Mus musculus: one gene and its partner. The protein of the gene in region 2 interacts with the protein of the main gene of each other region in a biochemical or structural test. Links are inferred from orthologs where the notes say so. Each region holds a gene or a part of one and is shown on either strand. Other genes may lie near its edges.

Region 1 (3,746 bases), on a different chromosome or scaffold from region 2:
CCCCTTTGAGGGTCACATGTCAGAAATCCTGCATAGCAGATATTTTACAATTCATAACAGTAGCAAAATTACAGTTATTAAGTAGCAACTTAACTTTATGTCTGGGGGTCACTACAACATAAGGAACTATGTTAAAGGGTCACAGCATCAAGAAGGTTGAGAACCACTGGCCTAGAGGTGAATATCCTTTCTGGCCCCCAAAAATGTATCTGGGACTGAGGATTTGAGAAACATGGGTTTCTCTCCAACATCCTTTCATTTATACGTAGTCCATTTGTAGAGGCATGTATGTATATGTAATTCTGTATAACTCTCAACATTGTCATTATTTGGGGAAGGAAAGCGTCAGAGACTCTCAAGTAATAAAGTCTGGCTTGAACATCTGTCTTTTGTCCACCTCACTTGTGCTCTCTTTTCTGAGGACAAGATCTCACTTTGTAGCCAAGCAGCTCTTAAACCGAGATCCTCCTATAGCCAGGCATGGTGGCATATACCTTTTATCCCAGCATTTGAGAGGCAAAGGAAGGAAGAGCTCTCTCTCTGAGGCCAGCCTGGTCTAAATAACTAGCTCCAGAACAGCCAGGACTATGCAGAAATGCCCTGTCACAACAAGAACACAAACTGTAAAGTCTCCTCTGTAATAACATTAGCTTCTAATAGATGAAGCTGGGCGTTAGAGACTATGTGGGAAATAACAATTCTGTAAATAAGCTCTATAAAAACGGTGTTTTTATCAAGTTCATTTAAACAACCCAAGTTACCTGAACTTTGTCTTGGTGATTCAGACAGGATTTGCCCATGTCACCCACACTGTACTCAAACTTTGAATCCTCCTGCTTCAGCCTATAAAGTATTGGGACCACAGGCTTGTCCATCACACCCAGGTCCCCAGAACACTTTCCAGGTAAGCCCTGGTACCCTGGCTAGCCAAACACCACTGGCTTGCTTAGGGGTCTGTAGTCCTAAAGAGCTTCGTTCTTTAGTCTGTGAAATTCCCCTTTCTCTCGTGTGATCAAGGAGACCCCAGCTCTGCCCAAGCCCCCAAAGGTGCCCCACACTTGGGAACCAGACACTTCTTTCTCCTGTGTGTTTCAAAGTCAAGGCAAAGAGAGGAGAATCAGTCTGAACAGACTGCTACACACATTTCCCTTTCCAACAACACCCCATTACCAAGGAGTAGAAAAAAATTCCCACAGGTTAAAATCGATCCCATCTTCCTTGGTGGCCCCTTAAGAGCATCAGTGAACGAAATCCTGGGAGACAAAGACCAGTGAAACACAAGAGCAAATCCATCTGAGGAATCCGTCAGAAGAAAGAGTAGCAAGAGCAAGGAAGAATGAAAGGTGGAACTACAAAGCTGGGGGGGGGGGTGCACTTCGAAAACACACTAGTGATCCCCCCCCTTGTTTTCCCCACTGAAATGTCAGTTTTTGAAGCAGCTTCTGATAATGTCACCAGCTTCTCACGTTCTTAAAAAAGACAGGAGGCGCGTGGCGAGGGAGGTGGCTTGTTACCTCTTGACTTCTAAAGCCGGCCATCAGCCAGCCGGCCTTCCCCTCTTCCACGTTTCCATGGGGGATGGGCTTGGGAATCTCTATCAGGAAGGGCTCTGTCCTAAGTCCCAAAGTTTACCCACCCTGGTGGGTGTGTGGGTGGGGGATCCCGAATCCCAAGTCCTCCACAAGGGCGGCACCCAGTCTTCCCGGTGTTACACACTGAAAACCACTTTTCAAATGTCCGTGTGTGAGGAGGATGTCCCCTGAGATGAGATCCACAAACCACACCCGCTCAAGAGCCCTCCCAATCACTCCCTCTCTCCAGTCCCCTCTACAATCCCCCCAGAATCCTCGGGGCCCCACTTCCTGCCACGCGCCCCCCTACCCCACCCGCTGCAAATCTCAGGCCCGCGACTCTTATTTCCCGCGCCCCTCTTCGGGCTCCAAGGTCCCCACGCACACCCTCTCTGCTATCTCGCCCGCGGGCAGCAGGAGCCGCGTGTACAAGCTCGGCCCGAGTCCCCCCCCCCCCCCAACCCTCCGCCGCCTGCCCCCTCCCCGGGCGCCCGCGCCGCCGGCCTCGTGCGCCGCCGTCCCCAGGGTGTCCCCAGCACTCACGGCTGTAGAGGGCGATGCCCGCCGCGTCTGGTCCGGCGCGCACCTCAAGGCGCAGCGCCTGCTGCTCCGCGTGCCGCTGGATCTCGCCGTTCGCGTCGCCGATAGTGAGGAGGCGGGCGCCCGGGAACACAGACACTGTAGCGCAGGGCCCCGCGCCGCCCGGGCCCGCCACCCCAGCGCTCCCCGCACCCGGCCCCACCGCCGTCGCTGCCGCCGCTGCCATCTTAGGTCCGGCTCCAGGCCCCGCTGCCACCACGGCCACCGCCACCGCCGCACCCGGGCCCAGGCCGCCGCCGCCGCCGCCGCCGCCGCTGCCGCCGCCGCGCAGGCCGAGGCCGAGGCCGAGGCTGGCAGCGCGCCGCCTGCCGGCCACGCGACGCCTCGCCGCCGCCGCCGCCGCCACGGGCCGGCTCGGTGGCGCAGCGCCCCCTCCTGGCGCCTGAGGGAGCCGGGCGAGCGCAAGCACGACGGGGGTGGGGCCGGCCCCACCCCGCGGGAACGGTCGCTGCTTTGTGAGGTGGCTGAGCCTCCCGGGCAGGCCGGGTGAAGGCGCCTACGTTGGGAGGCGGTGCCCCGCAGTATGACACGCCCCCAGGGATGCTAAGCCCCGCCCCGAGGCAGCGTTGTGCGAACCGAGGCGCTTTGTGCCACCGCGCACAGCTCTGGAGAGATGGGCAGGGCATGCGTCGGGAGGCGGTGCTTAGCCTTCCCGGCACGCCCCCGGAATGATCAGGCGGCCCCACCCCCCGCTCCGGGCCGGCGACCGGTGATCCACGGTGATCCACAGCCCTTTGTACCACAGGGCGTTTCAGGAGGCAATGCTTGGCCGCTCGGACACGCCTCTGGGGCCAGACCCACCCACAGGCCGGCAGCGAGCGAACCACCATGCTTTGTGCCACTGTGAGCATAGCTCAAGAAAAGTGGAGAGGCGTGAGTCGGAGAACTAAGAAGAAACGCCTCCTCCAGGGCTGAGCTCCGCCCCTAGGCTGGCGTGCTGCGTACTCCCCCAGTACTCTTGGGGGTGAGGCGTTTGTCAGAAGGAGGCGCTCAGCTACTTTATACACCCGGAGGAGGGCTGGCTCCGCCCCCAGGAGGGACGGTTACTAGCAGAATGCAGACGGTGCTCTGCATCTTTTTGTCAAGGGACGGTGTTCTGATCCACGAAACCCTCCCTCGGAGAGTTCGGGCCCCTCCGGGCCAGTGTCCTGCAAACAACCTCTCCTGAGCTTGAGGAAAGACAAGAACCGTTTCCAAACCCAGGTGATTCGGCCACGCCCCCAAGTTAAGGTTCCGCCCTGTACGTTCCCAGGTAAGCTCCGCCTTGATCCCGTCCCACTGGTAAGAAAAGGCCCTGTGATAGGTGTGCTCTGGTTTGCAGGCTCGCACCCAGCTGGGGCCCCTTCCCATGCTGCTCTGGGATAAAGGCTTTTCAAGCCGCGCTCCAGAGCTTGGCCTTCACAAAGAACTTCAAGGCAGTAACTTTAATTCTTTAGCTTCTCCACTAGGACCTCTCCTTTTCACTAGTTAACTCTCAGGTCCCCCAGTGAACTCACAGTGGCCAGTCACTTGTTCACTTTTGCTGGGCCTCTTAGAACTCTAATTTACGTACCCCCTCCTGGGCCTCCGCAAGAC
Region 2 (3,646 bases):
GGATCATAAGCCTCATGCTGTCCAATGTGGTAGTAACCAGTAATATGTGATACTGAAGGCTCAACAAAGCAGTTTTACATAAACTAAACAATTCAGTTTACCAATCAACCCTGTTACAACTTAAGTAGTTAAGACCCACATGGCAGATAGTAAACAAAATAAAGCACAGGTGTGACAACATATCTATCATTGTTGACTGTTCCAGCACTGTGCAAAGCCTCACTGAGGGGTCTTTGAGATTAAACTACCGAAGAGTGCAGAAATACACTATGTCAACAGTACTAACTGAGAAGAAAAATGGGAGGTTCTTTCAGTTTTTGTGGCCACTCTACTCAGAGGAAAAAGACTGGCAGCCAGCTGAGCACATCCCTGATGCGTGTGCCTCCATGCTGCTCTGTGATCAAGTCTCTGGAACCAGCAGCACCATCAGCACTGGGGCTGAGAGCAGGAACTGCTTTTCTCCCTGAAAACAGAAATCTTAAGGAGGGTGGCAGATAGAAAACTGTTACTCAATTCTAGTCTGTGTCAGAGTTTTCTTTAAAAACAAAACAAAACACAACCAAAAACTAAGTGAGCTGTTACTTTAAGGACAAATGGCAGTATTTGTTGCCAAGGGTAAAATCGGGGTTGTCATCAATTAATGTTTTTAAAAACATATCTGCCACATGAGCTTGATATTTCTCAAAACCTTTTAAGATTTGCTTTATGAAACTGATAATGTGAGTATTTGGAGGAGCGGGGGTGGAAGGGTTGTTATTACAGCATCAGGTATGTCAGCACTTACTCAATGACCTAGCACTCTGCAGGTCACAAAGGATGATGTCAACTCACCTTCGAGAGCCTCTGCTAGCTGTCTCTTGAAGCATCTACCAGAGTATCTATCCCCAGTTACCCCAAAGAGCCACGTATCATTCCTCTCATCACTAGTAAGTTATTGGAATGAGAATGGATGTTCCTCACACAGTTCAAACAATATTACTCCCCCCCACCCTCCGCCCCGAGACAGGGTTTTTCTCTGTAGCCCTGGCTGTCCTCAAACTCAGAAATCTGCCTGCTTCTGCCTCCTGAGAGCTGGGATTAAAGGCGTGTGCCACCACGCCCGCACAAAAAATATTATTCTTTTTTTTTTTTAATTTTTTTTATTAGGTATTTAGCTCATTTACATTTCCAATGCTATACCAAAAGTCCCCCATACCCACCCACCCCCCCAAAAATATTATTCTTAAGAGTCTAATTTAGTTGCCTAACTCTCTTCAAGACATTGAAAGATTACAAAATAATGTCCTATTTTTGGATTATTTTTGCTTGGAAAAGATTTTTTTTTTTTTGTACAAATGTGTTAAATGAGGCTAGCAATACCACAGGTAGAGTTCTGGTTCTATTCTCCAGGTGGGGTGGGGTAAATGATACCACTAACAAACTTATTAATTTAAACAAATCAAATATTTTTTCCTCTGGTTTACTTCATAAAAGGAAAAAGTAATGACAAGATGATCCACATACTCAAAACCTCTTTGACCCGGCGACTATAAAAGAAGTAGGTGCCTTTCCTAGCTCTGCAGCTTTACTACCTCAGCCACCAACATTGTACTCTTTCTGAAACGTGTCTTTCACCTGCAGCTCTCAACTTCCAGAGTCCTGTTAAGCAAGGGTTACTTGACAATTTTCCAACACCCTATTGCTTTTTACTGTGGACACAGCTTAGCCGAACTATACCCAATTTCTACTTGTCCTGAGCTAAGTGCACACATCTGTGGCTTCACATTCCCACCTCATGCCCAGTCACAGCTCCTTACTGGCCCCCAGTGCTCACACAGATATCGACAGTGATCCTTTGTCTCAAACTACAGCATTTTTGCTCATTTTCCATCCTGACTCCTTCATCACCTTTTCCCTGGCTCTGCAGAACCTACACTGCTTACCCTGCTCAGAGACCCAGAAGCATTCCAAGTCTGCCTCTCTAGTCAGTGACATCTCATCTGAGGGCTGGCTCCCTAGCCGCAGTCTGTTACTGTTACTTTTCTCTCTGTGAATGTGTGGATGTGGGGAAGGCTGTCTATGGTACTTGAGTGTGTACAGGTATACACACCTTTGCATGCATTCATGGATGCTAGTGTACAACTGGTTCCCTGCCTTATTCCTTTAGGTCTTACTGAGTCTGGAGTTAGACTGGTGGCAAGCAAGTTACAACTTCCTGTGTCAGCCCCACTCCTCCGGTGCTGGAGTTAGAGAGACGTGTGCATAGCCACACCCAACCTTTTACACGAGTGCTAGAATCCAAACCCCGGGCTTCATGTTTGCCCAGCAATCTCTGCCACCCTGCTGTCTCCATTTCCAAAGGTAAAGCTTAGAGAATGAGAGACAAGGAACATGAAAAGGAATTTGTAATTATTTTCCTGCCTCAGCTTTTAATCTTTGGTGTGGAAGCACAGCTTAGTCTAACATTACAGAAAACGTGACCTACTTTTTTTGCGTGGCTGGGAAGGAGATGTTGATTGTGAGGCTGTGTCGTTCGAACTGTTCTCTTCTTCCTCTTTAGCTTCCACTTTTACTTCAGGTTTCTTTTCTTCTACTTCCATTGGCTCTGACTTCTGCTCTGTCGTATCTGTCTCTTCTTTTACTTGGGAAGAACCTTGTAAATCCTCTTCCATCATCTTGAGAAAGACAGAGTCACAGAGAACAGGTGTCTATGAGACCTTTGTAACCCAGGCCAGCTTCCCCTTGACGACTGCAGCACACAAGCTTGCTGAGTGCTCCCTTAGTCAAAGACACTGTAAATATTCTTTTTAGTTTCCCACTAGGAAAAGGAACAAAATGTCTGATGTCTACTTAGTTACTTTATACAGCATCAGTACAATCATAATTCTAATTTAATTTTTTTAATATAAAAGTATGTTTACATGCTCAGTAAAATATTGGTACATCTAGTTTGAAAATAAGGGTACCTTGAAAAATCAAAATAAGGATCAAGACCCTGTGCTCTGAGATGAAGAGTGTGATATGAGACTTGGACCAACTGGGAAGCCCATGCCACTACCATGTGGCACCCACATCACGTATGACACTGGCTGCCATAAAGGAGTATAAGGGTACTGATGACAGAGTTGCTCAACTTTTGAGAAAAAGCAGACTATCTAAAGTTTTATTTATAACTTCATGATTTTTAAAACACTGAACACAGACCAAAAACCAAAAACCAAAACAAAACAAAACAAAAACCCCCACAAAAACAAAACACATTCCCAGGCTGGATTTGGCTCTTGGCCTACTGATTTCAACTTCTGCTCTAAGTCAGTAAATGAATCTACCACCCCTTCTGCAGAACTAAAAATGAAAGAAGAACATTAACAAAAAGATTTGTGGAAAACTGGAACAGTTAAAATGAATATCCAACACCACGTTAGGTCCTGAGGATATATGGTAAAGCTGCCATACATAGCTATGGACTAAGGCTGAGGGAGCATCTACCTCAGACCGAGGTTCCCCCTTGGATTCAGTAGGTTCAGGCTCAGCATCATCTGTCTGCACCTCTGTCTTCATTTCCAGCATGGGCACATCGGGTCCTGGCTGCTGGGAACTGGTTTCAGCACTGGTCACAGAGGAGGGAGTAGGGACTCTATTATCAATGCTGGCTGCTGCCTGAGAA

The links.
Region 1: of the proteins of Crebbp (region 2) and Carm1, one has a biochemical effect on the other in vitro, tested with the Homo sapiens proteins (4 studies listed by BioGRID, with this or other methods). The link is inferred for Mus musculus from reciprocal best matches to the Homo sapiens genes CREBBP and CARM1.

What each region holds. Positions count from the first base shown.
Region 1 is NC_000075.6:21,545,599-21,549,344, reverse strand, and holds the start of Carm1 (histone-arginine methyltransferase CARM1), read right to left. Parts: upstream 2,452-3,746; 5' UTR 2,338-2,451; coding exon 2,115-2,337; intron 1-2,114. UniProt on the Homo sapiens protein: Methylates (mono- and asymmetric dimethylation) the guanidino nitrogens of arginyl residues in several proteins involved in DNA packaging, transcription regulation, pre-mRNA splicing, and mRNA stability.
Region 2 is NC_000082.6:4,112,310-4,115,955, forward strand, and holds part of Crebbp (histone lysine acetyltransferase CREBBP), read right to left. Parts: coding exon 3,469-3,646; intron 2,655-3,468; coding exon 2,465-2,654; intron 1-2,464. UniProt on the Homo sapiens protein: Acetylates histones, giving a specific tag for transcriptional activation. Mediates acetylation of histone H3 at 'Lys-18' and 'Lys-27' (H3K18ac and H3K27ac, respectively).